Linked DNA regions of Anolis sagrei. The protein of the gene in region 4 interacts with the protein of the main gene of each other region in a pairwise test. Links are inferred from orthologs where the notes say so. Each region holds a gene or a part of one and is shown on either strand. Other genes may lie near its edges.

What was found.
Region 1: the proteins of CCHCR1 (region 4) and SAT1 interact in binary tests that used the Homo sapiens proteins (3 or more experiments, as listed by UniProt). The link is inferred for Anolis sagrei from reciprocal best matches to the Homo sapiens genes CCHCR1 and SAT1.
Region 2: the proteins of CCHCR1 (region 4) and USHBP1 interact in binary tests that used the Homo sapiens proteins (3 or more experiments, as listed by UniProt). The link is inferred for Anolis sagrei from reciprocal best matches to the Homo sapiens genes CCHCR1 and USHBP1.
Region 3: the proteins of CCHCR1 (region 4) and SSX2IP interact in binary tests that used the Homo sapiens proteins (3 or more experiments, as listed by UniProt). The link is inferred for Anolis sagrei from reciprocal best matches to the Homo sapiens genes CCHCR1 and SSX2IP.

The regions. Positions count from the first base shown.
Region 1 is NC_090023.1:86,790,840-86,798,644, reverse strand, and holds the start of SAT1 (diamine acetyltransferase 1), read left to right. Parts: upstream 1-4,801; 5' UTR 4,802-4,988; coding exon 4,989-5,054; intron 5,055-7,805. UniProt on the Homo sapiens protein: Enzyme which catalyzes the acetylation of polyamines. Substrate specificity: norspermidine = spermidine >> spermine > N(1)-acetylspermine. This highly regulated enzyme allows a fine attenuation of the intracellular concentration of polyamines.
Region 2 is NC_090034.1:29,449,704-29,457,436, reverse strand, and holds the start of USHBP1 (harmonin-binding protein USHBP1), read left to right. Parts: upstream 1-4,730; 5' UTR 4,731-4,800; coding exon 4,801-4,809; intron 4,810-5,346; coding exon 5,347-5,504; intron 5,505-7,733.
Region 3 is NC_090024.1:154,979,246-154,986,626, forward strand, and holds the start of SSX2IP (afadin- and alpha-actinin-binding protein), read left to right. Parts: upstream 1-4,369; 5' UTR 4,370-4,534; intron 4,535-7,381. UniProt on the Homo sapiens protein: Belongs to an adhesion system, which plays a role in the organization of homotypic, interneuronal and heterotypic cell-cell adherens junctions (AJs).
Region 4 is NC_090022.1:21,399,066-21,406,333, reverse strand, and holds the start of CCHCR1 (coiled-coil alpha-helical rod protein 1), read left to right. Parts: upstream 1-4,250; 5' UTR 4,251-4,342; exon of another isoform or gene 4,343-4,383; intron 4,384-4,447; exon of another isoform or gene 4,448-4,689; intron 4,690-5,854; 5' UTR 5,855-5,871; coding exon 5,872-5,941; intron 5,942-7,073; coding exon 7,074-7,268. UniProt on the Homo sapiens protein: May be a regulator of keratinocyte proliferation or differentiation.

The DNA.
Region 1 (7,805 bases), on a different chromosome or scaffold from region 4:
GAGGGAAGGATACTAGAGACAAAATTGAAGTACTTTGGTCACATCATGAGGAGACAGGAAAGCCTAGAGAAGACAATTATGCTGGGGAAAGTGGAAGGCAAAAGGAAGAGGGGCCGACCAAGGGCAAGATGGATGGATGGCATCCTTGAAGTGACTGGAATGACCTTGAGGGAGCTGGGGGTGGTAACGGCTGACAGGGAGCTCCGGCGTGGGCTGGTCCATGAGGTCACAAAGAGTCGGAGACGACTGAACGAATGAACAACAACAACCACATCTGTATGCCCATAGAATCCTGGGATTTGTAGTTTGGTGAGGCACCAACTCTATTTGGCAGAGCATGCAAAAAAAGCAACCAGAAAACTACAACTCCCATGATTCCATAGCATTGAGCCATGGCAGTTGAAGTTTCCTGCTCCTTGGTTTTGGGTTGGACTGGATGGCCTACGAAATCTCTTCCAATTCTATGATTCTAATAGGGCCGCATCACACTAGAGAAAAAATCCACATATAATCCGGTTTCTGCCTGCTGCAAAATTCTGGGCTTTGTAGTTTAGGGAAGGGCCTTTAACAGCCTCACTAAACTACAAACCCCGGAATTCTGCAGGAGGCAGAAACTGGATTTAAAGTGGATTTTTTTCTCAAGTGTGATGTGATGTTAAACTGCATTAATTGCACAGTGTAGGTGCATCCATAGTCTCCTTTTCCTATTGCCACGCATTATGTCCTGTCTAAGAATTCATATCTTCTCGTGCTATCCCCCAAAGCATAACTGTCTTCATGGCTTCTAGGGAGTGTTCAGGTTTGATCAACTCTAGGTTCTTTTGTTTTTGTTTTTGGCAGTTATTGATATCTGCAGAACTCTCCTCTTTCATTCACCATTATTTCAAGTGATATTACTATCTTCACAATCGTACATAGAAACATGTAATACAATGATGTGGACAATCCTGAGTTTGATATTCAGTTATATATCTTTACATTTGAGGCACCAAAATAGAAACTGTGTTTGGCCCATCCTGCTTGGGCACTCTATTTTGAATGGATTTGGTAACAGGACAGTATTTATTTATTTACAGTATTTATATCCCACTCTTCTCACCCTGAAGGGAACTTAGAGCAGCTTACAGAACACACACATGGCAAGCATTAAATGCTGATTATACAACTAACAAGGGCAGACAACACAACAGAGGAAAAGGCAGTTTTTCCCCATCTTATTTCCAGCAACCTGGAGGGTGTGCTCGACTCTGGCCATGGAGGGTGCTGTCACTCCATCTTCCATGCCGAGGAGCTACCTCCCAATGATGTCTTTAAGGGGTTTTTATTATGTCCCCACTAAAAACGGTACCTATTTATCTACTCGCATTTCTGCTTTCAATCTGCTAGGTGGGCAGGTGAGCTGGGGCTGACGGTGGGTGCTCAACCCTGCCCCGGGATCAAACTGCTGACCTTTTGATCAGCGGGATGTTTCCGCAGCACAGTGGTTTTGTCTGCTGTGCTAAGCCCAGTTTGTCTTCTGTCTCAGTTGGCAAAATGTCTTGGGCAGTTCAGTCTATCAATAACAGCTTAATTTGATTTATTTATTATTATTTATTTCCAATATTTCTATTGCACTTTTCTCAACCTCCGAGGGGGGACTCTGGGTGGCTTACAAACCGGCCACAATTCGAAGCCTCAGTACAATACAAATATAAGCACAAATAGCAACAGTTTAAAATAGTAAATAAAACATTAAGATAAAACATGTTAAAAACATTGTAATCAACCATATAGCCAAGTTCAGTCCGGTTCAACATCCAAGGTGCTGTCATGCTTGCTTTCTAAAGGCCTGGTCTCAGAGCCATGACTTAACCTTCTTCCTAAAAAGAAAGGAGGGAAGAAGCCAACCTGATCTTGCTGGGGAGCGAGTTCCACAGGCATAGGGCCACCGCCGAGAAGGCCTTGTCCCTTTGCAAGGCTGGCGGGACCGAGAGCAGGGCCTCCCCGGATGATCTTAAGCTATGAGGCGGGATGTAAAGGGAGATACATTCGGACAAGTAAGCTGGGCCAGAACCGTATAGGGCTTTATAGGCCAAGACCAGCACTCTGAATTGTGCTCGGAAGTGGACAGGCAGCCAGTGAAGCTGGCACAACAGTGGAGTGGTGTGCTCCCTGGATTTATATCTTTGGTATTTTCTCACCTTATACATCTTTGACTGTGATTAGATAACCCTTACATTAGTACAGGCAGGAAATAAAAATTTAGAGAAACGTATCTGAGGACTGTTTTTTCACTTCTCAGAATTAGGAATAAATATCCTGAACAAGAAATGGAAATTGCCACTTATGTACGTTACACAGTATGGTGATTCAGTCCTTTGCTATGAATTGTATTTTGAAAGACGTGGGGTGGAGCCTCCTGTAAAGTCATCCAGGGGCAATAGCCTGCTTGTAGAGAGGATTAAGCATTCTTTGTGGGCGTGTGGCCAGTTTAACCCATGAAATCGTTCTCAGTGAAACTGTCCTGGTTTATCTGAAACAGGAAAGTCCTGTTGTGACACCTAAATGTGTGTTAATTGGCTCACCTAGATTAGATCTACACTGCCCTATATCCAAAGATCTGACCCCAAGCCCCTTCTGCACTGCTGTATAAAATCCAGATTATCTGCTTTGAACTGGATCATCTTTGAATTGGACTCATATAATCCAGTTCAAAACAGATATTGTGGGATTTTCTGCCTTGATATTCTGGGTTACATAGCTGTGTGGAAGGGCCCCTAGACTCAAGGGTGTTTTAAATATATTAACAAACCTTTTTTTCTGTTGGTGGTAATAAAACTAGTGTGTGTCTTACAATTATCAGTGTCTTAGAATGCGAAAAATGCTGGTATGATCTTTTATTTCTCAGCTGAGGACAACCGGAAAAGATTTGTTCAGGCTCAGCACATTTTATTTTTGAGAAAAGCTAACTAAAGCTAATATGTCGCTGAACATGATCCAGATGGTCAGTGAATCACTGGTTATACATTTTCATTAAGCTGCTTGTAGATCTGAAGTCTCGTGTCTTACTATCGGTTTAAGAATGAAACAATAAAGTTGTACAGGTTAAGTATCCCTTATCTGGTGTTGCTATAAGAAAGTCTTATAGCAGGGGTCCTCAAACTGTTGGGAGGCCGAATTATAATTTGGGAAAAAAACATGAATGAATTCTTATGCACACTGCATATATCTTATTTGTAGTGCAAAAAACACTTTAAAACAATACAATAAAATGAAGAACAATTTTAACAAATATAAACTTATTAGTATTTCAATGGGAAGGAGCCCCCGGTGGCGCAGTGGGTTAAGCCCCTGTGCCGGCAGGATTAAAGACCGACAGGTCGCAGGTTCGAATCTAGGGAGAGGCGGATGAGCTCCCTCTATCAGCTCCAGCTCCCTTGTGGGGATATGAGAGAAGCCTTCCACAAGAATGATAAAAACATCAAATCATCCAGGGGTCCCCTGGGCAACGTCCTTGCAGACGGCCAATTCTCTCACACCAGAAGCGACTTGCTCCTGACACGACAAAAAAAAAATTGGCTGATGAGATAGGATTGTTGTTGTTGTTGTGTGCTTTCAAGTCATTTCAGACTTAGGTTGACTCTGAGCGAGGGCTGGGTAATTGACCTTGGAGGGATGTATCTGGCCCCCGGGCCTTAGTTTGAAGACTCCTGTCTTATAGCAAAACCAGAGGCACTCCAAGTGGCCAGTTACTGGTCAAAGGACATTTAATATAATGCCAAGCTTTTAAACATTGTGTTTTCTCAAATACATCACAACTATACCCTTGGTTTGCCCCTGATACGATAAATAATAAAATCTTGTATCTGACATATCAATACAGGCATTCCAATTCCAAATTAAAATAAAACAAAATTCAAAACATGTATCATCCAAAGCATTTAGAGTGACTTATATAGAATGGCAAATTCAAATGTCTTTGGAATTATTATTAGCCACAGGAGTATTATAGACCCTAAGGGCCTTTCCACACAGCCATATAACCCCGAATATCAAGGCAGAAAATCCCGCAATACCTGCTTCAATCTGAATCCATACTGCCATATATCCAGGTTCAAAGCAGAAAATGTGGGATTTTATTCAGCTGTGTGGAAGGGGACAAAGAATACTTTTTAAAACTCTTTTTATTAAACAGTAAAACAGTGTTACATTAAGTCACATTTGTATTTTGAATTATAGTATTAATCAAGTCCAGACATGAGTTTGTAGCATGGAGTATAGTATTAGGGCCCTTCCACACAGCCCTATATCCTAGAATATCAAGGTAGGATATCCCACATTATCTGGGTGTGGACTCAGATAACCCAGTTCAAAGCAGATATTGTGGGGTTTTCTGCCTTGATATTCTGGGTTATAGGGCTGTGTGGAAGGGCCCAGGGCCCTTCCACACAGCCCTATAACCCAGAATATCAAGGCAGAAAACCCCACAATATCTGCTTTGAACTGGGTTATTTGAGTCCACACTGCCCTATATTCCAGTTCAAAGCAGAGAATGTGGGATTTGGTCCAGTTGTGTGGAAGAGCCCTGTATCACTTCTTCAGTGTAGTTGAAGGCAAAGGGCTTCCCCAGGAGGGGGCAACCTCACCCTAGGCGCCGCCTTGCCTTCCGCCTCCCGCCCGAGTGAGTCATTTCCTAGAAGGATGACGTCAGGGGCGGTGCGCGAGAAGAGAGGGGAGGCTGCCTGGCGCTGATTGGACAGGGTGGCGAGTGGGCGGGGCCGCAGCAGCCTATATATTCGGCGGCCCTCCTCACGTTCCCAGCACAGAGACTTCCGGATTCGGTCGCTTTGTTTTCCTTCCTAAGCCCACGTTACGGGATGCTGTCCGCCTGACTACCCGTGTCTCGCCGCCGCTGCGCCCAGGACGCGAATGAAGAAACTGCTCCTCCTGCTCTTCAACTATCGGGGACTCAATCGAGGCGGGGGACGCAAAGGGAAACGCCGTCGGAAATGGACTCGTTCGTTATCCGCGCCGCGCGGCCTGAGGACTGCGCCGACATCCTGCGCCTCATAAAGGTATCTGGCCTTCTCGCCTGGCCCGGAAGGGAGCGGAAGGCCTACACCAGTGTAGGTCAGCGGTTCGTAACCTGAGAATTCCCAGGTGTTTTGGCCTACAACTCCCAGAAATCCCAGCCTGCTTACCAGCTGTTAGGATTTCTGGGAGTTGAAGGCCAAAACATCTGGGGACCCACAGGTGGAGAACCACTGATGTAGACAGACAGACAGGAACTAATCAATAAAGACAGATGTAATAATAATAATAATAAACCTTTATTTATACCCCGTTCATATCTCCCGAAGGACTCGGTGCGGCTTACAAGAGGCCGGGGCCCAATACATAAATAAAACAACAGCATAACAAATACAACAATAATTAAAACTCATAAAACAAGCAATAAACATTAAAACAATGAGAATAAACATTAGACAAGAATCCACCCAACATAATAAAGTTAAACCCCAAGTATACCCATTTAGCCTCTTTTTTATTTTTGATACATACATATATATATATATATATATATATATATATATATATGGGGCATTGGTAAACTTTGGCCCTCCAGGTGTTTTGGACTTCAACTCCCACAATTCCTAACAGCCAGCAGGCTGTTAGGAATTGTGGGAGTTGAAGTCCAAAACACCTGGAGGGCCAAAGTTTACCCGTTCCTGATATATACACAGAAAAAGGGGTGCTTGCTTTTTGGTGACTACAAGACCTGAAACTTGTCACGAAGACTTACAAAAACCCAAATCCCATCCATTCTCAGCTATGATGATACAGGTTTTTTTTTTCTAAATATGTGGCCAGAAAGTAAAGTCAAAGTTTGAGCTGGAGTCCAAGGTTATCTCCTCCCAATCATGAGTGCTGACATGGCTGATTTGCCTTTTCCCCCCCTTTAATCTGCTAACTCCAGATGCCTTGTGACCCACATCTAAGGAAACTGCTTTTGAAAAACAACAAAAAGGGAAGGGCTTTGTTCTCCTTTTACTTCCCTCACCTCAATAGTTGCTTTAAGGAAGTATTGGTATCAGCTAGAGAGGGTGGTTCTCTTCCTCATTCTTCATTTGAATGTCTAGTTGCTTGGAAGTGAGCCCCATTAGACCCAGAGAAACTTGGACCCCATCTATACTTGCATTTAATGCCGTTCCAAACTGGTATTGGAAGCGCAGATGGCTGAATAGAAAATGCTGGAACCAGTTTGAGGCCTGGATGGGTGATTACACAAATCACAGAGTGTTAAAGAGTATTAAGGACTTTCTTTAGCATACTTTTTTCTTATCTCCTTTTTCTCTCTTTTTTTGGTGTGTCCATGACTTTTATTAGGGGCCCCTGGTGTTGTAGCGGGTTAAACCATTGAGCTGCTCAACGAAAGGTTGGTGGTTCGAATTTGGGGAGTGGGATGAGCTCCTGCTATTAACCCCAGCTTTTTCCAGACTAGCATTTCGAAAACATGCAAAAGTGAGAAGTGGTATCAATAGATACCACTTCTACAGGAAGCTCCATGCAGTCATGCTGGCCGCATGACCTTGGAGATGTCCACGGACAATGCCGGCTCCAAAATGGAGATGAGCACAACCCTGCAGAGTCAAACACGACTAGACTTAATGTCAGGGGAAACTTTTACCTTTAATATAGCTTTTTTTAATATTAAAAAATAAAAACAATATTATTCGCACTCACAAGGAAAGTAAAGGTGGGGTTAGAGGTGGTGGAGCTCTGGTTCGTAGATTAGAATTCTATAATTATCTGCTATATCACTGAAGAAAAGGAACAGGATTGATGGGGGAAAGAGTTTGTTATAGTTATTGCATCTATATCTTCCACACAAGTGCTATTTGCACACATTTGTGGGAGTTCTATACCAGGCTGGCTGCTTTACAGTGAACTTTGAACTGCATCAAATGGTCTGTGTAGATGGCATCAGTGATATCACTTACAGGTCAATGTTTCTGTAAGCTCTGGAGTCACATAACCCATCTGCTGGTAAAGTAGGCCCTTGATCTCTCCTGTAATGGTGTTCCTTGAATAAAATGGCTAGATCAAGCTATCCTTTTTGGATTCTTTTTTAAAAATACATTTTCAATCTGTGGGTGATTGAATCTGTGGATATGGAAGGCCAGCTGTACTGAAAATGCCTTGCTTGCAGAATGCTGAGTGCAAAGGTACACGTGTACAAATGGAGAACTGTTTGTTCCATAAACAGCTTTTCTTGTTGGGCCCAGATACTTTGGCCTCCTCTGCGTTGACAAAATAACCCCTCCCTGCTCTTGTGAAAGAGGCTGTACTGCCTCCACCCTCTTTGCAAAGCTAAACGTCATGGAAAATTAGTCAACAGTTCCTGTCGAGTCAACAGTTCGTGTCCTTGAACTGTGTTGAACGACAAGATGGCCTACTTGTAAAAGATTAGATCTCACCTTTGGCAGACTTCTTCTAAATATGGCTCAAACAGATTCAGGATCAGGGGAGATAGACTTTCATACAGGGAACATTTCATAATGTGAACTTGAGTCTAGGTTTGTTTAACTTAATTCGTTGGGTGATTTTTTCCCCCCTTCACATTACAAGCAGCTCAAGTTATTGGAAAAATAATAATTTTATTTCATATCCTCTTCTCAGCACTGCTCAAGATGGGTCACAGCATAGTTAAAAACAAACAAATACTATAAAGATTCTACAAACACACATTAAAATTCAGTTCCATAGAAGACACAGATCAAAGCATTTCTGTAAAATACACATTAATCACACAGAACAGAGACCAA
Region 2 (7,733 bases), on a different chromosome or scaffold from region 4:
ATGTGAAAAGTGTCGTCAGCAAAGAATATGTCCAAAGGGTCAGAAAGGTTTTGAAGAGCAAATTAAATGGCAGAAATACGATCAAGGCTCTCAACCCCTGGGCCATCCCCGTCATTAGATACACTGCTGGGATTGTGAACTGGACACAAGCAGAGCTGGATGATCTGGACAGAAAAACAAGGAAACTGATGACAGCCCACTACTCATTACACCCGCGTAGAGATGTCATCGACAGACTTGACCTGCCCAGAAAATCAGGAGGCAAAGAGAGGGCTTCTGTAAGTGAAACAAAAGGTAGAAGAAGAGAAACACACACTGGCAGATTATGTGAAAGGCAGTCAAGAACAACAGTGAGGGAAGTCAATAGAATCATAGAATCATAGAATCAAAGAGTTGGAAGAGACCTCATGGGCCATCCAGTCCAACCCCCTGCCAAGAAGCAGGAATATTGCATTCAAATCACCCCTGACCAATGGCCATCCAGCCTCTGCTTAAAAGCTTCCAAAGAAGGAGCCTCCACCACACTCCAGGGCAGAGAGTTCCACTGCTGAACGGCTCTCACAGTCAGGAAGTTCTTCCTCATGTTCAGATGGAATCTCCTCTCTTGTAGTTTGAAGCCATTATTCCACGTCCTAGTCTCCAAGGAAGCAGAAAACAAGCTTGCTCCTTCCTCCCTGTGGCTTCCTCTCACATATTTATACATGGCTATCATATCTCCTCTCAGCCTTCTCTTCTTCAGGCTAAACATGCCCAGTTCCCTAAGCTGCTCCTCATAGGGCTTGTTCTCCAGACCCTTGATCATTTTAGTCGCCCTCCTCTGGACACATTCCAGCTTGTCAATATCTCTCTTGAATTGTGGTGCCCAGAATTGGACACAATATTCCAGATGTGGTCTAACCAAAGCAGAATAGAGGGGTAGCATGACTTCCCTAGATCTAGACACTATGCTCCTATTGATGCAGGCCAAAATCCCATTGGCTTTTTTTGCCGCCACATCACATTGTTGGCTCATGTTTAACTTGTTGTCCACGAGGACTCCAAGATCTTTTTCACACGTACTGCTCTCGAGCCAGGCGTCACCCATTCTGTATCTTTGCATTTCATTTTTTCTGCCAAAGTGGAATATCTTACATTTGTCACTGTTGAACTTCATTTTGTTAGTTTTGGCCCATCTCTCTAATCTGTCAAGATCATTTTGAATTCTGCTCCTGTCCTCTGGACTATTGGCTATGCCTCCCAATTTGGTGTCATCTGCAAACTTGATGATCATGCCTTCTAGCCCTTCATCTAAGTCATTAATAAAGATGTTGAACAGGACCGGGCCCAGGACGGAACCCTGCGGCACTCCACTTGTCACTTCTTTCCAAGATGAAGAGGAAGCATTAGTGAGCACTCTCTGTGTTCGTCCACTTAACCAATTACAGATCCACCTCACCGTAGTTTTGCCTAGCCCACATTGGACTAGTGTGTAGTCAACTGCTTCAAGTGCCAAAGACAAAGAGTGAAAACACAATCCAAAGCAGAAGAGAAAACTGGCAAAAGAAGGCTCTCCATGGACAGGTTCAAGCAAAAATGGAGAGCCAAATTGACAAAGAAAAACATGGCTGTGGCTCACAAATGGAACTCTGAAAAAGGAGACGACGGAGGGCCTGATTCTGGCAGCCCAAGAACAAGCCATTTGAACCAACGCCACCAAAGCCAGAATTGAAAAGCTGACAACAGATCCCAAGTGTAGACTCTGCAAGGAAGCAGATGAAACAACAGATCACAACCTCAGCTGCTGCAAGAAGATTGCGCAGACAGACTACAAGCAGAGGCACAACACCGTTGCTCAGATGATTAATTGGAACTTGTGCCACAAAAACCATCTGCCTGCAACAAACTGGTGGGATCACAAGCCGGAAAAGGTTACAGAGAATGAACACACCAAACTCCTCTGGGACTTCTGGATTCAGACAGACAAAGTTTTGGAGCGTAATACTCTTGACCTCAATCGTGTTAAAAAAAAAGTATGGATTGTCGATGTCGCAATCCCAGGTGACAGCAGGATTGCAGAGAAACAACTGGAAATGCTGGCACAATATGAGGATTTAAAAATCGAACTGCAAAGACTCTGGCACAAGCCAGTCAAGGTGGTCTCAGTGGTGATCGGCACACTGGGTGCAGTGACTAAAGACCTTGGCCTGCATTTAAACAAAATAGGCACTGACAAAATTACCATCTGCCAGCTGCAGAAGGCCACCCTACTGGGATCTGCACGCATTATTCGCAGATACATCACACACTCCTAGACAGTTGGGAAGTGTCTGACGTGTGATCCAATGCAACAGCCAACAGAGTGTCTGCTGTGGACCCATCTTGTTGTGTTTCCAATAATAATAATAACAACAACTGAAACAGCCTTGGTCGTCTTAGTGGATGATCTGTATAGGGAACTGGACAAGGGGAGTGTGTCCCTGTTGGTTCTCCTGGACCTCTCAGCGGCCTTCGATACCGTAGACCACGGTATCCTGGAACGCCTGTTGGGAATGGGGCTTGGATGCATTGTTCTGCAGTGGCTCTGGTCCTTCCTGGAAGGTCATTCTCAGAAGGTGTTACTGACACCTGCTCAGCCCCACAGCCATTGTCTTGTGGGGTCCCACAGGGCTCAGTATTGTCCCCATGTTGTTTAACATCTACATGAAGCCACTGGGAGAGATGCCATCTGTATGCAGATGACGTCCAACTATATCACTCTTTTCCACCTGCTACTAAGGAGGCTGTTCAGGTCCTGAACCAGTGCTTGGCAGCTGTGATGATCTGAATGAGAGCAAACAAACTGAAACTGAATCCAGACAAGACAGAGGTGCTCCTGGTCAGTCACAAGGCCAAACAGGGTATAGGGTTATGGCCTGTGTTGGACAGGGTCACACTTCCCCTGAAAACGCAGATTCGCAGTTTGGGAGTTCTCCTGGATTCCTTGATAGTAATATAATATAATAATAATAATAATAATAATAATAATATAGAATTGGAGGAGGCCCCAGGCAGAAAGACACAAGCCATGCCCTCCTGGAAGCTCTGAAATATAACAACAACAACAATAATAATATAATGATAAAATTAGAATTATAATTATAGACAGGAAGATATCATCCAAGCCCTCCCAACAAATGGTTATCTAGTCTCTGCATAATATAATAATAATAATAATAATAATAATCACCATAATTTTATTATGATTATTATTATTATTAGTTTCCTTTTCTAATGGTGGAGATTGATCTTGCCATAACAAATGCAAGGAAATACAATGTGCTTTCCCCCTATAGGGCAGGTTGATTAACAATAATAACAATAACAATAATAATAACAGTGTTCATGCCCTTTCCCCATATTAGCAGCTATGCATTGCACCATAAACCTATACATAAACCTTTTTCTCACCTTTAAGCGGCTAGATGCAGACTCTTTCCCTTTGCAAACCGAGCCGGAAGTGGGTAGGAGGGAGGGCATTCCTTTGGCCCCGCCCTTCCGGCGCAAGGCCTTCTGGGATTTGTAGTTTCCCTGCCAAAAACCTAAGCCTCTTGCCCAAATCAAGTCAATTTTTTTTAAAAGGGAAATATTACTTTAATAATACTTTATTAATATATTATATTATTAATCAATTTCATTATATTGTTTTAGATACGTTTTGATTATACTATATTAGATATATCTATATCTATACACATAATAAAAGTGAAAATCTGTATATGTGATTTATGGGAGTTATAGTTCACCTGCATCCATACAAACTGTGACCCCCACCGTGAATGGACCGGGACCACATTTGGCACAGAGAAGCCATCTGAACATTTTGGAGACGTTTGGGGGAAATTGACCTTGATTTTGGGAATTGTAGTTCACCTGCATCCAGTCATACTGCGACCCCCACCGATAATGGACCAGGACCACACTTGGCACAGAGAAACCCCATGACCACGTGGACATACTGGAGAAGTTTGGGGGGAAATTGACCTTGATTTATGGGAGTTATAGTTCACCTACATCCATACAAACTGTGACCCCCACTGACAATGGACGGGAGACCAAACTTCACACAGAGAAGCCCCATGACCAACTGAACATACTACAGGGTTTTGTGGAAATTGACCTTGATTTTGAGAATTGTAGTTCGCTCTTATCCAGAAAACACTGAATCCAGCCAATGTCGGATCCAGACCAAACTTTGCAGTGCGTACAGGTGGGGTTTGGCGGCGATTGACCCACGATTCTGGGAGTTTTCGTTTGCCCTTATCCAGAGAGCACTGAACGCAGCCGACGTCAGATCTGGGCCAAACCTGGCACACAAGCCCAACATGGCTAACTTTGAATACTGGTGGGGCTTGGGGTAATTGGCCCACGATTTTGGGAACTGCAGTTCACCCACACCCTTATGCATTTTCTAATGGGAGCATTCATAAAAAAACAACAGGAAAGACTGGCTTTTTTCTAATAAATAATGTTACTAATTAACTAAATGATATGACCTAACATCCCAAAACAACCAATGCCCTTTTCAAATCACCCGGGCACTGCCGGGACCCCAAGCTAGTAATAAATATAATATAGTAATAATAAATACATAAGTAAATACTTCCACCCCAGTTTCTTTAGGGTTAAAGCACTGGTCCGGATATAGCTGGCTTCCTTCCTCTCTGGAAAAACAGGAAGGCCTTTTCTTTATTATTATTTTTATGGGAATGAACAGGAACCAAAGGGCTGGGCTTTGGCTTATTTTGATGCTGATGCTGCCTTTGGAGCCACTTTTTGGACAGAATGGAGCAGGTAAGGGCCACATTCTCTCAGCCTCTGAGCAGTATAGTCCCTATAATATTATTGTATTATTATTATTATATAATAGGGGCTGTGTTGGCGCAGCAGGTTAAACCACTAAGCTGCAGAACTTGCTGACTAGAAGGTTGGCAGTTCAAATCTGCGGGATGCGGTGAGCTCCCGTCGTTAGCCCCAGCTCCTGCCAACCTAGCAGTTCGAAACCATGCAAATGTGAGTAGAACAATAGGTACTGCTCCAGCAGGAAGGTAATGGCACTCCATGCAGTCATGCCAGCCACATGACCGTGGAGGCGTCTGAGGACAATGCCAGCTCTTTGGCTTTGAAATGGAGATGAGCACCACACCCTAGAGTCGGACATGACAAGACTTAATGTCAAGTGAAAACCTTTACTTTTTTATTTTTATATAATAGGACCGTTGCTTGGATGCAGCTCTTGCCCAGGTCAAGCACACACCTTGGATCCATAGTAGCCACACTTGAGGCCTTTGCCTGCCATTGATTCAACTCATTTTGTTTCCCGAAACGCAGGAAGGATCCAGGCCTGGAGGTGACAAAGGATCCCCCGAAAAGGCTTTGCCACCAGATGAGCGAGAAGCCCTTCGCTGCGAGGAGCACATCACGGCACTGCTAGTGACGGTGTCCCGCCTTCACGGACACATCCAATGCCTCCAGCGGGAGAAAGACAGGTAACTGGTCGCTGTCACCTTGTCTGTTCGAAGCAATTGTGGTGTTGCAGTGAGCAGCCTTGCAGTTGCAGAGTCAATCAGTGAGGGTATCTGCATAGAGATAGCCTGGCCTCTGTTGCCTGGAAACACCCTCTGCTGGGGAGCTGTCCAGTGTGTGCTTGATGTCTGGAGTTTCCCTATTTTAAAGCTAGTGTGAATGTTGCAATTAGCAACCTTGAATTAGCGTTGAGGAAACTTGCAGCTGCAAAGTCAATCAGTGAGGGTGTCTGCATAGAGGCAGTGAAGCAAGTGGAGTGTGTGTATATCCCTGTGGAATAATGTCCAGGTTAGGAAAAAGAATCCTTGTCTCTTTGAAGCAAGTGTGGATGTTGCAAGTAGCAAGATTGAACAGCACTGAGTAGCCTTGCAGTTGCAAAGTCAATCAGTGAGGGTGTCTGCACAGAGGCAGTGAAGCAAGTGGAGTGTGTGCATATCCCTATAGAATAATGTCCAGGGTGGGAAAAAGAACCTTTGTCTCTTTGAAGCAAGTGTGGATGTTGCAAGTAGCAAGCTTGAATAGCATTGAGTAGCCTTGAAGTTACAAAGTCAATCAGTGAGGGTATCTGAATAGAGGTAGTGAAGCAAGTGGAATGTGTGTGTGTGTATGTATGTGTATGTATATGTATGTATGTATGTATGTGTATATATATATATATAGCCCCCTGTGGAATGATATCCAGGGAGGGAGAAAGAACCTTCTCTGTTTCAAGCTAGTGTGACTGTTCCAATTAGCATTGATAGTAGCCTTGCAGCTGCAAAGTCAATCAGTGAGGGTCTCTGCCTAGAGGGTGCCTCCAGGCATCAAAGACCAGGCTACCTCACCCTGACCCAGGCTTGAACTACCAATCTTTTGATCAGCAAGATTTTTTGCAGCTGGTGGTTTAACCCGCTGTGCTAAAACCTGGCCCTAACTTGGATGTTATCCTGTTTTTGAAGATTTAGTCGGGTATGTTCTAGATCAGTGTTTCTCAACCTGGGGGTCGGGACCCCTGGAGGGATCGCGAGGGGGTGTCAGAGGGGTCACCAAAGACCATCCTGAAAACACAGTATTTTCTGTTGGACATTGAGGTTCTGTGTGGGAAGTTTGGCCCAATTCAATTGTTGGTAGGGTTCAGAATGCTCTTTGATTGTAGGTTAACTATAAATCCCAGCAACTACAACTCCCAAATGCCATGGTCTGTTTCCCCCAAACTCATCAGTGTTCACATTTGGGCATATTGAGAATTCATGCAAATGGTGCCGAGAGCCCCCGTCCAGTAACTGGTCTATACTGCAGCGGAGAGTTCCGCAGTTCCTGGAAGCCGAAATTGAAAAAAAACTGATGAAATGTGCCCCAACAAACAGCTCAAGGCCAGGACTGCTTTCAGCTTTCATCATTTTCCCTCTAGCCCTGACTTTGTATCTAATCTCTAATAAGGGTACTTGAGTTATAGTTCCCCAAGGACCGAGCGATGGATCTTGTTATTTATCAACTCAGCGCCCATCTGCTAACTTCTACCAGAAGAAAATGACTCTCTGCTGCTTGCTTTGAACTGCAAGCCACCTCCGTTTCCACGAGCCTCCCTCAGAAACCTGGGACTTCAAGTTTTCAAATAAAAAATCAATTATTTTATTAAATAATTAAGATGTGGGGTGGAAATGGGGTTTTTCTTACATGAACTTTGTATAAATAATATTGCATGAAATATCGTCTGCCTTCCCGCCTTTCCCCTTGACTTTTGCCCTAAAAGAAGTGACCAAGGACCGTTGCAATGCCTGAGGGAGGACCCCTGCCTCCCTCGAAACTCATTTTGATTATCTCACATCAGCATGGACAATAGCATATTTGGGATTTCCTTTCTCGCTCTCTGAGTCGGTCTGGCGAGACGAGGAAGTCTATATGGACATTATGATTGATTTACAAAGGGCAGGGTCGACCCCCCTGAGGTCCCCTGCCCCGGTCCTGTTTGTTTCCCCACCAAAACCCATCAAGGACAGGAAAGCCTTTCTTGTGGAAATCACACCTAGCCGGCTCAGGACAAAAGCCTCACATTCCAGCTGGCCGGCTATCAGTAATCCCATCATTTCCCCCATTGTCCGCGGTCGGCCCGCCTCCTCTTTTCTGATTCGTCCATCCTCAGAAGCGAGAGAAGCACGCCGATTGGCCCTCCAGAGGCGGAGAAGCTTGCTGATTGGCCCAGGGCAGGGCGG
Region 3 (7,381 bases), on a different chromosome or scaffold from region 4:
AACCTCCTACTGTTTCTTTTCTTCCTCGGACCTTTTAATGATTGAGAAATTCTCAGCATACAACATTCCTCACACATGCTGTAATCCTCTTTCCTTAAGCCAAAACGTGCCCTGGTCTTTCAGCAACAAAGATTTGCCTTCTGGGTCCTTTTATATCCTCACAAGTCAGGGAAAACCTTGTATAGGTTAAGCATCTCTTATCCGAAATGCTTGGGATTAGAGGTGTTTTGATTTGGGGGAACAGGATTTGAAATAACAATATTTACATATATTGTGCATAATAAGATATCTTGAAGATGAGGCCAGGTCTAAACACGCAATTCATTTATGTTTCACATACATCTTATAGACATAGCCTGAAGGTAATTTATACTCAACATGATGTTGGGCTTGAATAAAGTTGTGTACATTGAACCATCAGAAAGCTAAGGTTTCACTATCTCATCCACTCATGTGGAAAGCTTTGGATTTCAGAATATTTGAGCATTCCAGATAAAGGATGCTTAATCTCTAAAATCAGGGTAGAAACCTCTAAAATCTTATTTCAGAGCGAGAGTTATGTTCAACTATTGTACAAAAACACACCTGGGGCTGGACACCTGAGTTCAGATTTAGGGTGGTGGCGATTTGCCTTCAAATGGCCTATGACTTATGGTAACCCTATGAATGGGAGACCTCCAATATCCCCAGTGAGCAACAGCCCTGCTCAGATCTTGCAACCTCAGGCTCCATCTACACTGCTGTATGATGCAGTTTGAAACGGCATTTTAGATGGGGCCTGTTGACCATGGCTTCTTAAAATGAAGCAATTCACTTGCAGGCCTGTTTATATATTTTGCAGAATCAGTATCCCCAGTCAGCAACTGCCCAGCTCAGATCTTGCAATCTCAGTTTGAAACTGCAATTTAGATGGGGCCTTTTGACCATGGCTTCTTAAAATGAAGCAATTCACTTACAGGTCTGTTTATATATTTTGCAGAATCAATACATTTGATTTTGTTTCTCTAGTCATAACAGTGTTACAGCATAAGTGGCTTTGAAATCCAAAACTGAGTATGTTCAGAGAATGTTTATGTATCTATTGAGCCTGTAATTATTTATCTGAGAGTTGGCAAACAGTTTTATTCTTTGCTTTGATATATTTCTGTATCTAGCAATTGAGGTAATTAATGTACTTGTCCAAATCAAGGCGAGAGATGTGTGGGTGTGCATGTGTGTGTGTAAGACTATTAAGTGCAGAGCTTAAAATAGTGCATCTCGCACGATTTCCCTTGCACTGCAGCAAGAATGTCTATTTCTCTGTTTTAGAGAGAATCCCACCATTGGCAAAAACTCCAGTGGTTTCTTTAAAAGCTTTTGGTAAGGATAAGAGGGGAGAGCTGCCTTATTATAAAGAAGATATAATTTATTGTTTGACTTATTTTTTATTATTATTGATTGCTTGTAAAATGGAGTCAGACAGCCAGAAACCTAAGATTTAGAATGTTTGCTGATAAAGATTAGTAAGACAAATACAGTAGATTCTCTCAAGCAATTGGCAAAAAAATTGAAAAATTTTTTCAAAATTAAAATACATATATAATACAGTAAAACCGTGTTACATTATGTTTTACTTTCAATATTAATATCAAGTCAATACAAAATGTATAGTATGAGCTCCTGGTGGTGCAGCGGGTTAAATTACTGAGCTGCTGAACTTGCTGACTGAAAGGTTGGTGGTTCAAATCTGCAGAGCGGGGTGAACTCCACCTGTTAGCCCCAGCTTCTGCCAACCTAGCAGTTTGAAAACATGCAAATGTGGGTACATCAATGGGTACCGCTTCTGCGGGAAGGTAACAGCATTCCAAGTGGTCATGCCGGCCACATGACCTTGAAGGTGTCTATAGACAATGTCAGCTCTTCAGCTTAGAAATGGAGATGAGCACCACGCCTTAGAGTCAGACACAACTAGATTTACTGCCAAGGGGAAACATTTACCTTTACCTTTATGAGTTTGGCTTGTTTTGAATAGTAACTCGAGAGACCAAAAACTACATTTATCTGGTATCTACCTGGTTAACTGAGAATCTTGACCCATGTTAAACAAAGTTGTGGGTTGCTCTGAATTCTGCCTAGGATCCGGAGTGAGAGCTTTAACTTGACACCTCTGAACTTACATCTTGCTAGGCCTGCCTAGTTAAGAAAACACAGCAGAGATTCCCAACCCCAAAGAGCCCTTTGCTTTGAGATTGGCCAGTTCCTTAGGCTGGTCAACACAGGGTGCTGTTTGTGCTTATTGAAGCAACAGGAAACTGAGCAAAGTCCATGTCTTTTGACCAAGAGAAAGAAGTTTTGATTTCTAACTGGACAGACAGGTCATGTGCTGATGCTAACTGCTAGATATAAGGTGGACTATAAAATAATTGTTCTACAAGACCCCACTGTCCTTCTTTTACAAGATAGCTAGGCACCCACATGCCGCAGCAGCGCAGTGAGTTAAACTGCTAGCTGCAGGAAATCTGCTGACTGGAAGGTTGGCAGCAAAGCCTTAACAAAGCCTTAAGTTGGGGTGAGCTCCCGACTGCAGCCCTAGCTTCTGCCAACCTAGCAGTACAAAAGCATGCAATGTGAATAGATCAATAGGTACCGCCTTGGTGGGACGGTAAAAAGGCATCCCATGCAGATATGCAGACATCTTCTCCAAACTTTCCTGTCTTCTCATTATGTGGCCAAAGTATTTCATCTTTGCCTGTAATATCCTTCTTTCCAGTGAGCAGCCAGGCATTATTTCCTTGAGTATGGTCTGGTTTGATCATCCAGCGGTCCAAGGCAGTCTCAGAATTTTCCTCCAAGATTCCATTTTTCTTACTGGCTGTTAGGAATTGAGGGAGTTGAAGTCCAAAATACCCGGGAGGCCGAAGTTTGCCCATGCCTGTTTTATACAGTGCTTTCTAACTTTTACTCCAAGATATTCTGGACTTCAACCCCCAGAAGCCCCAGTCAGTCTGGCTGATAGTAGGAAACTCTGAGAGCTGAAGTCCTAACTACAGGGAGGAGCAAAACTGAAAAATAATATGAAATGTTTTAAGGTACCACCAGATTTGGTATATCCTCCTCCCCTGGGTGCATCCACATTGTACAATCAATGCAGTTTGAAATCTCTGTAACTCAGGCATGGGTAAAATTTGACCCCCCAGGTATTTTCTGTGTTGTAATGTAAAATAAAATAATATAAAGGAGTCCCGTTGGCGCAGTGGTTTAAAGCACTGAGCTGCTGAACTTGTTGACTGAAAGGTCGCAGGTTCGAATCTGGGGAGCGGCGTGAGCTCCCACTGTCAGCCCCAGCTTCTGCCACAATAGCCGTTTGAAAACATGCAAATGTGAGTAGATCAATAGGTACCGCTCCGGCGGAAGGTAAGGGCGCTCTATGCAGTCATGCTGGCCACATGACCTTGGAGGTGGCTACGGACAACGCCAGCTCTTTGGCTTAGAAATGGAGATGAACAACAAACCCCAGAGTCGGACACGACTGGACTTAATGTCAGGGGAAAGCCTTTACCTTTACCTTTACTAATGTAAAATAAATCACGTGTAGTTCACGTTTGATCAACCCACCCATTGCCTTGCCAGAGTTAGAAAATATGCCACGCAGGTGACCAATAAAGAACAAGTAGTTTACTCTTCTTAGTTCAGAACGACATATGTACAATGTGATCAGTTGTACTAACTCGCATAATTTCCTTTTATGGGAGGTTTAAAATAGTATTTCTATGTCCATTTGGATAAGCTCCTTTAGCAGCTCATGAAGTACACTCCAAACTTTCTGCTTCTCTTCAAGCCTGAACAAAAATGCAACAGTAACCAAAAGTCCCAGGCTCAGCCATCTCCCAGGGCATTGCCTGGCCACACACATTCATGCATCTTATTTTATTTGATGCACATACACACTCTCACTGATTCTTTGCATGCTCCTAACAGGCTGTTAGGAATGGTGGGAGCTGAACTCCAAAACACCTGGAGGGCCAAAGTTTGCCCATGCCTGCTGTAACTGCTATCGTTCAGTGCTATGGAACCATGGGAGATGTAATTTCACAAGGTCTGGACTAGCCCTCTCTGCCAAACTGCAACTCCCACGGTCTTATCCCATTGAGCCCTGGCAGTTAATGGGGTGTCAAACGGTATTAATGCTGCAGGAGAGGAGGGGGGGGGGGAAGAGTATGGCTGCAACAGGTGAAGAAGGAGGGGAGAGCCGGCCAAGCAGCTGGCGCGTCTGCCAGGCCCTTTGTTGAAAGGTCTCCTAGCAACGCTGCGGCCAATGGGGGCGCGGAGTCTCGGGGCGCGGAGGGGGGATTGGAAGGCGGGCGCTGCTGGGATCGGCGGTGCCGCGGGGCGCGCGCGTGCGTGAGTGTGCGCGCGCGTAGGAGGGAGGGAAGCAGGCAAGCAGAGAGGCAGCGGAGCTTTGGGCAGCAGAGGTTGGGGCGCCCCTCCTTTCCTCCCGCAGCAGGTGGGAGGCTGGGTGCCCTGTCCCCTCCCCCACCCGGCTTCCCAGGAGCAGGTCTGGACTTGATCTTGGCTATTCTGGGGCAAAAAGGGGAAAAGGGGAGGAGGAAGCACGTGGGAAATGGGAGGCATTGGCATGCGAGTCAGTGGGTGGTTGGGAGGGGGGCAAAGGAGGAGGAGGTGGACACTTCTGTAGAAGAGGGGGCATTGCATGGGGGTGAGATACCAGACAGTCAGGTGCGTTCTCACGTACACAGTCTGGGTCAGGAGTGTGCTGGTGTGTCTACACTGTAGAATGAATGCACTTTAGCTGTCAATGGCTTCATGCTATGGAAGCCTGGGAGGTGCACTTTGGTGAGGCACCTGCACTCTTTGGGCCCTTCCACACAGCCCTATATCCCAGAATATCAAAGCAAAAAATTCCACATTATCTGCTTTAAACTGGGTTATCTGAGTCCACATTCAGATAATGTGGGATTTCCAGCCTTGATATTCTGGGATATAGGACTGTGTGGAAGGGCCCTGCGTGCACACTCAGATAATGTGGGATTTCTGCTTTGATATTCTGGGATATAGGGCTGAGTGGAGGGCCCCTTAGGCGGGGAAATTTCACTACCTTGTAATTCCCCCCTCAGTCCCAAGGAGGACCCTGCATTGTAGAATCCATGCAGTTTGACAAAAGCAGCACTTCACACAAAACATAATGCATGGTTATGAAAGCTGAATATTTAGGAAGCGGTAAACAAAGAGGTGCATCTACACCAGGCACAGGCAGACTTTGGCCCTCCAGGTGTTTTGGACTTCAACTCCCACAATTCCTAACAGCCTACCTGGAGGGCCAAAGTCTGCCCATGTCTGATCTACACTGTAGAATTAATGCAGTTCGACACTACTGTGATTGCTCAACAGTGTGGAATCCTGGGAGTTGTAGTTAAGTGAGACACCAGCACTCCCATGATTCCATAGAAGTGAGCCATGGCAGTTCAATAGGGTGTCAAACTACACCCTATTGAACTGCCATGGATCACTTCTATGGAATCACGGGAGATGTAGTTCCACAAGATCCCTCTCCTTCTCTACCAAAATGTGTCGGTGTCTCACCCAACTACAACTCGCAGGATTCTATGCTGTTGAGCAATCAAAGTGGTGTCAAACAGCATTCATTCTACAGTGAAGATCAGACTTGGGCAAACTTCGGCCTTCCAGCTACTTCATCACACTAGAGAATGAATCCACTTTAAATCTATTTTCTGCCTCCTGTAGAATTCTGGGGTTTGTAGTTTAGGGAGGAGCCTTTAACAGCCTCACTAAACTACAAACCCCAAAATTCTGCAGCAGGCAGAAACCGGATTTAAAATGGATTCATTCTCTAGTGTGATGAAGTAGCCAGGTGAAGTAGCCACAAGTTGAGAACCACTGTGGTAGGCTGTTAGGAATTGTGGGTGTTGAAGTCCAAACACCTGGAGGGCCGAAGTTTGTCTATGCCTGGTGTAGATGCACCTCTGTGTTTGCTGACAGTGTGAGAGATCTTCCAAGGTGCATCTACATGCTATAGAATGAATGCAGCTTGACACCACTTTTATTGCTCAACAGTATGAGATCCTGCGAGTTGTAATTTGGCAAGGCAACAGCACTCTTTGGCAGAGAAGGCCAAAGACTTTGCAAAGCGCTGACTCCTGTGACTCTATTGCACAGAGCCCTGGCAGTTCAAGTGGTGTCAAACTGGATTGATGCTCCAGTGTCGATGCACCCCAAGTCACCTGGCTCAAGTCTTGCAAAACTTCTTGATCTTCCTTGTGCTGCATCTGCACACTGTAGAACGCACGCAGTGTGACACCACTTGAACTTCCATGTCTCAGTGCTATAGAATACTGGGAATTGGAGTTTGATACAAAGCACTTTTCAGCAGTGAAAGGCCTTGTAAACTACAATTCCCAGGTTTTGATAGTATTGAGCCATTGTAGTTGAAGTGGTGTCAAACTTCATTAAATGTAGAGTGCAGATATACCCTTGGTTTCCCAAAATCTTCATCTTTATCATCTTTTTGTTAATTGCTGTCAAGTCTGACTTACAGCAAACTTAAACCTATGCATTGTTTTGTTAACTGCCGTCACATAGACATATGAATGAGTGACCTCTAGGTTTTGCAAATTGCAGACTCCCTTGACGTTTCTTGCTTCCCCTGATTTTCAACTTTTGTAACAATCCATATGTTTATATTGAGGGGCAGAATGTGAAAGAGCTTCTCAAAAGGGAGGTTATAAATGCTAGAGAGGGTGGCAGGCATGGGAAGGATTGCAGGCCATTGATTGGGAGGTGAAAAAGGCATTCTAAAAACAGAGCTGTCTGCAAGCGTTAGGAACCTGCTGGTTGGTGGAGTGTGAAAAGGCACCGGGCGGACAGCAGTCTAGGCAATGTGCGGAAATAAAGCCCTGTGTTGCTTGCACATTTTACTTGCAGTCTGTTGCATTTATGAGTGTATATATAGTCAGCCCTCTATATCCATGGATTTTGTATCCACAGATTCAACTGTCCATGCCTTGTAAATATTCAGAAAATAATCCAGAAAGCAAAACTTTGATTTTGTGATTTAATTTAGAGCAGTGGTTCTTCACCTGTGGTCCGTGGACCACCAGTGGTCCACAAGAATTAAAATATGGTCCGCGGCTTTACTGTTACTACACCGTTGCAACAAGAGCGACTGGTCTTGCAAAACCCTCATATAGTGCTGAGCATTAACAAAATCCATGGATAATAACACAGCCCAACCAAAAACAATTTTTTTCTTCTTGTTTTCGTTTTTAGGTCAGTTCCTGGAGTTATTGGGGTGTTGATTCAGAAAATTGCATTGAATAGACCACATCCATTCTAGATTATTAAATACGGTTTTCTGTGGGTGAGC
Region 4 (7,268 bases):
AAGACCCAAACACTGTAGATAACTCAAAATAAGTTTTATTGTTCACAAAGAGTTATCTCTTTAAGGCAATAAGCTGGAAGTTTCAAAGGGGGGGAAGGAAAATATACATTACAGTCTCTGGTTGTCTTGGGTCCAAGGTGTTTGCAGCTGAGAAGCTTTTCCAGGTCCCTCTTTCTCAATGGCTGTAAATGCCGGAGCAATCCACAACCTCAGTTTGAAGACTCAGGGTCTTCCTCTGGTGCCAAAAGAACTGGCTTGAAGGTGCTTGAGACTTCCCAATGTCGTTCAGGTTGGTCTGAACATGAAGCATAAGTCTCAAGGGTAAAAACCTCAGAATTGGTGCTGAGAGGTAATTTAATCAGGGGCTTTTAGAGCCAAGTCTCTTACTCATGTCCATCTCGTAGAAAATCTGAAGGTGGAATAAAAAAGGGAAGCACTCCCCTCCGCCAGGAAGAGGTGGAGCCAAACAACTGAGCTGAAAAAGCAATTCAACTGGTGCAAACAACACTGATTGACAAATATAAATAACCAATCAATCCAACTATACATAAGCAGGGTAAAAAAGCAGAATTAAGCATGATACAACAGTTTAAATCTTGCAACTAACAGTTCTACAGACATAGGTGGTGCCACTCGCGCCGTCACACAGTAGCCGGTGGAATGGCAGTTAAAGATGGCGGGAGGGCTCCTCGGCGGTTGCTAGAGAGTGCCTGGTTGGTAGTCTGTCTCCCTCCCATTCAGCGGCTGGTAGAATGGCAGTTAAAGATGGCGGGAGGGCCTCTCAGCAGCTGTTGGAAAGTACCTGGTTGATAGTCTGGCTCCCTTCCATTCAGCGACTGGTGGAATGGCAGTTAAAGATGGCAGGAAGGCTCCTCGGCAGTTGCTAGAGTGCCTGGTTGGTAGTCTGGCTCCCTCCCACCCAGCGGCCGGTGGAATGCCAGTTAAAGATGGTGGGAGGGCCTCTCAGCAGCTATTGGAAAGTACCTGGTTGGTAGCCTGGTTCCCTCGCACTCAGTAGCTGGTGGAATGGCAGTTAAAGATGGTGGAAGGGCCTCTCAGTGGCTATTGGAAAGCACCTGGTTGGTAGTCTGGCTCCCTTTCACTCAACGACTGGTGGAATGGCAGTTAAAGATGGCAGGAGGGCTCCTCGGCGGTTGCTAGAGTGCCTGGTTGGTAGTCTGGCTCCCTCCCACTCAGCAGCCGGTGGAATGGCAGTTAAAGATGGCGGAAGGGCTTCTCGGCAGCTGATAGAGAGTGCCTGGTTGGTAGTCTGGCTCCCTGTTGCAACTCAGAGTAGGCTTCACCTTGTTCCCAAATACTACCACACAAGAGCTGTAGATTTTGTAGTTTATTGAGGCAAAAACCCAAGTCAAAACATAGAGTAAGCAATACAGAGTTCCAAAGACAAAGGTTAAATGCAAAACACAATTCCAAAGGTCCTCAGGTAAGAACATAAAACATAATCCTTTAAGCAATGGTCAAACAAGAGTCCTTGGTAAAAACAGTGAAACACAAGTCCCAAGAATCACGATTCAGGAAGCCCAGAGCATGCTGCTTTAGAGCCAAGGTTATTCCATAGAAACCTTCGTGCTAAAAGCCACGATGAACTGACACATTCCCCTTGTTAACCAGAAGCCTAAATACCTTTTGCGAACAAGAAAACGTTACGCTCTCGCCAACATGAAAGCATTTCGATGACCTTTCATCGACCTAGCTTCTTTCTTGCTGGCTAGCCGCAAACTCCTCCTGACCCACCAATCTAAACATTCCTGCCTGCTCATTTAATCACTATCAAGGCTGCTCTCTTCTCTATCAGTATCAGCATGAGACGGCTGAGCAAGTGAAGGTCTCTGCCCCTGGTCGTTATCTAATTCGCTGGCATTCTTTTCCCATGAGAACTGACTTGTTGACTCCTCTGGTGAAGTGTCTGCAAGAGGTGCAGACAAAGGCATAGGAACAGGACCAAAAATCTGAATCCCATCATCCTCTTCATCAGGGAACATTTCAGGCTCACAAGAGGGTTCAGTTTCAGGCTCAGAATCAAGCTGAGCCACAACACTCCCTTCCACTCAGCGGCTGGAAGAATGGAGGTTAAAGATGGTGGGAGGGCTTCTCAGCAGCTGTTGGAAATTACTTGGTTGGTAGTTTGGCTTCCTCCCACTCAGCGGCCCGGTGGAATGGCAGTTAAAGATGGCGGGAGGGCCTCTCAGTGACTGTTGGAAAGTACCAGGTTGGTAGTCTGGTTCCCTCCCACTCAGCAGCTGCAATAAGAGAGTAAGAGAGTGAGTGAACATATAGATAGAGGTGTCAGGGGGGAAGGGATTCCCTCAGCCTAGCCTAAAGCAAGGACCAAGTCGCAACAGTCAGAACTGACCACAGAACAACAGACTGGTTCAAGATTGGGAAAGGCGTACGGCAAGGCTTCATACTCTCACCCAACCTTTTTAACTTGTATGCAGAACACTTCATGCGATGTGCGGGGCTTGATGAATGCAAAGCTGGGGTGAAAATTGCTGGAAGAAACATTAACAACCTCAGATATGCAGATGACACCACTCTGATGGCCGAAAGCGAGGAGGAGCTGAGGAGCCTTCTAATCAAGGTGAAAGAAGAAAGCGCAAAAGCCGGGTTGCAGCTAAACGTCAAAAAAACCAAGATTATGGCAACAAGAATGATTGACAACTGGAAAATAGAGGGAGAAAACGTGGAGGCCGTGACAGACTTTGTATTTCTAGGCGCAAAGATTACTGCAGATGCAGACTGTGGCCAGGAAATCAGAAGACGCTTACTTCTTGGGAGGAGAGCAATGTCCAGTCTCGATAAAATAGTAAAGAGTAGAGACATCAGACTGGCAACAAAGATCCGCCTAGTCAAAGCCATGGTATTCCCTGTAGTAACCTACGGATGTGAGAGCTGGACCTTAGGGCTGAGCGAAGGAAGATCGATGCTTTTGAACTGTGGTGTTGGAGGAAAGTGCTGAGAGTGCCTTGGACTGCGAGAAGATCCAACCAGTCCATCCTCCAGGAAATAAAGCCCGACTGCTCATTGGAGGGAAGGATACTAGAGACAAAGCTGAAGTACTTTGACCACATCATGAGGAGACAGCAAAGCCTGGAGAAGACAATTATGCTGGGGAAAGTGGAAGGCAAAAGGAAGAGGGGCCGAACAAGGGCAAGATGGATGGATGGCATCCTTGAAGTGACTGGATTGACCTTGAAGGAGCTGTGGGTGGTGGCGACTGACAGGGAGCTCTGGTGTGGGCTGGTCCATGAGGTCACGAAGAGTCGGAGACGACTGAACGAATGAACAACAAGTACAGCAGCATGATTTGCAAAGCATTCTGCAAACTAGGAGAGGACCTTCTTTTCTTCTTTGTAAAGAGGATTGAGACAATTATTCAACAAAATGCTCTATATGAGTTTCAATGGAGCAAAAATAGTGCAGCCCACTATTAAAAAATCCAGTACCATGACACAATATATAATTATAGTGCTATGATTCTACATTACAGCAGAAAATTGGAAATAGGCTTCTCTTTATATTCATGGGCTGTGCATTTGTTGAACTCCATCTGAACATGAGGATGAACTTCCTGACTGTGAGAGCCGTTCAGCAGTGGAACTCTCTGCCCCAGAGTGTGGTGGAGGCTCCTGCTTTGGAAGCTTTTAAACAGAGGCTGGATGGCCATCTGTCAGGGGTGCTTTGAATGCAATATTCCTGCTTCTTGGCAGAATGGGGTTGGACTGGATGGCCCATGATGTCTCTTCCAACTCTTTGATTCTATGATACTAAAAGTTAGGGTGTATCTATACTGTAGAATGACTGCACTTTGACACCCCTTGAACTGCCATGGCTCAATGCTATGAAATTATGGGAGCTGTAGTTTTATAAGGTCTTGAGCCTCTTCTGCCAAAAAGTAATTGTGCTTCATCAATCTGTAACTTAAAGGATTCCATAGTAATTGAGCCCTGGGAGTTAAAATTGTGTTGAATTGCATTCATTCTATAGTGTAGATGCACTTAATGGGCAACCTAAACAAGTTTCTACCGCTTTTTCGGATCCAATCCGCTGATTGGTCGATTTGAGGAAAAGGGGCGTGTCCTCATTCTTCGCGCGCCCTTTTGAAGCGGGGAGGAAAAAAAAACCCGTTCTAAACAACAAAGAGCTTGTCCCGTTATCTGATTGGCTGAGACACCGCGAGGGGGTGTGTCTAACATTCGTCCCGCCTATCTCGTGACGTCACCGTTCCATATCTTTCCGTTCTCTTCGGATCGGTGTGGTTTCTATTCTCTCCGTTGGAGCTTGGGACGCGAGAGTTTGGCGCATGCGCAGTTCGACGTCGGTGGGTTGCTGCTAGTGACTGTTGATGGAGGGTTCGGAACGGTGGATTCATGTAAAAAGAAAAGGGGGGGGGGCGGAGCGAACCAATGAGAAGGAGGAAAAGGGGGGAAGCGGAACGAACCAATTTATAAGGGAAAAGGGGGGCTCTAAAGAGTAAAAGAAAGGATTTAGAAAGCAGCTTGTGCTAAAGAAACCCAACTGACTTGTGAAATGCAAAAGAAGAAAGAGGATCATGTTAGGACTGGCTTCTTAAGCATTAAAATTGCTTGTTAGACATATATCTTTGAATCATAGCCTGCAGCTAATGTTAACCAATACTTTTTAATCATTTTGTGCATGAAACAATTGGTAAGTAACACAAAAATTAATAGCTCTAGAGCACAGATAAAGTCTTCCTTATCCAAAATATTTTGCATTTTTTTTCCTTCCAGATTTTGGAATACTTTGATTTCCATAGTGATATTAACTTGGAGAGGAGAACTAAACCTCATCATGAAATTCAGATATAGATATATATATGCCTTATATACATATACAATATTGTATAAAATGATCTCTAGGATATTGGATGTGAAATAAAAGAATGCTCAACCTGTAAAATGGAATGCAAATATAGTAGACTCTCAATTAACCAGAATTTCAGATAGCAGAACTCTCAAGCAACCAGCAAAACTTTTAAAACAACATTGCATAGTGCAGTCACATAGCTGTTTTTATAATAACGCAATATATTAAGATTTTATTTGTCCTGATTTGCTTTTAACTATTGCATTTCAATATTAATATCAAGTAAATTTAAAGTGTATGGTATGGTATAGTATGGTATAACGGCGCTCCATGCAGTCATGCCGGCCACATGACCTTGGAGGTGTCTACGGACAACGCTGGCTCCTCGGCTTAGAAATGGAGATGAGCACCACACCCCAGAGTCAGACATGACTGGACTTAATGTCAGGGGACTACCTTTACCTTTACCTTTATGGTATAGTACGGGGTATAGTATTAGTTAGTCCTATTTTTAATAGGCACTCCCAAGCAACCAGAATCTACCAACCCCCATGAGTGCCAGACACCTGAGAGATCCATATTTTGGCCCTTTCTACAATGCCATATAAAATGCAGTTTATCTGCTTTGAACTGGATTATATGGCAGTGTAGACCAGGCATGGGTGAACTTCGGCCCTCCAGGTGTTTTGGACTTCAACTCCCACAAATTCCTAACAGCCGGTAGGCTGTTAGGAATTGTGGGAGTTGAAGTCCAAAACACCTGGAGGGCCAAAGTTTGCCCATGCCTGGTCTACACTGCCATATAATCCAGTTCAAAACCAATAATGTAGATTATATGACAGTGTAGAAGGGGCCTTGGTGCTATTTTATAGTCTGCTTTCAGTAGAAATTGTTCATAGAATTGTGCTGGAGGATCTCAAGATTTCTAGGGAGCAATATTATTATTATTATTCTCTTTTTGGTGGTGGGTCCTGTAATTGTAACTTCTGTGAATGTATTTCTGAAGGATTATGATTCGGAGCCATGGATAGAAGGAAAGATTCAGACAAACAGCTGGAGCCTCCTGCTGCGTTCGGAGTGCCAAGATCCACTGGTAAAAAAAGGAGCGCATTTGAGATCGCTTCTTTGTGTGTTAATATTGATTTTGTTATTTGGGAAGTTGGGAGTATGAGTGTCCTGTGCTTGTCAGTGTCACATATGGAATCTACACTATAGTATTCATGAATTTCAGTGCTGTGGAATCTTTGGAAGAGATGCTTATATAATGCCATATAATCCAGATTATCAAAGCAGATAATCTGGATTTTATATAGCAGTGTAGAAGGTGCCTACAATTCCGAGGATTCCGTAGCAGTGGGTCCGGTAGTTAGTTGTGTCAAACTCATTATTTCTACAGTGTATTTACGACATTTACCCCAAAGGGGACTCAGAGCGGTTTACAAGATATATATACATACAATATATATTATTAGCATAATACGATATCAGTATTAAATATTACTATATTGTACTATAACATTGTATTGTAATAATATTAGTAATATTACATGTAATATACATATATAATTATAGTATTACATTATATTGCATTACATTATAATATTATAAATATATGTATATACACTATATTATATTATATTTATTATATTTTATTATTAGAATAGCACAGGAGACAAGGTGGAACTGTCTTCTGCCCCCCTTTCTAATTTAAGTCCCCACAGGGAGAAAGGCAGGATATACTAATACAGTATTTATTTATTTATTTCGGGTACTTTTACCCCGCCCTTCTCAACCCCCGAGGGGGGACTCAGGGTGGCTTACAAAAGGCACAATTCGATGCCTGTACAAAAATTATACATAGTGTACAAAACCATAGTTAAAACAATTATCACAGTTAAAACAATCATAACAATCAATATACAATATACAGTAGTTAGGCCTAGTTCTAATAGTAACTCTCAAGCAACCAGAAACTATGTTTATCCAGCATCTACTAATCCCCATGGGTGCTGGTTCATTGAAAGTATACTACAGTAAATATTTTTTACCATTGACCAAATTCTGCAAGAATGTGGATTGAACGGACAGAATCTGTCATAGTATGAACCCCTAGAATACTGATCTGTTGTATCCCTAAGTTCCCTCCAATATAAAATCCAATTGTCTGAATTTTCAGTACTTATATGTCCATCTCTGCCTTTGGTGTTCATCTGTTTTTTATGTAGAGCCCAGAGGGCTGATCCCACCATCCCATTTCCAAAGCCGGTCAGCCCCTCCTTTGCCAGGGCCTGTGGGGCTGCCTTGGTGTGCCACCTCGCAGTCTAATTGGGAGGCAGCCGAACTCAAATGGGAAAACCAACGGCTGAAGGATGAACTCCAGAGATGGAGCAAAAAAGGAGAGAAGCTGGAAGAGGCTGGAA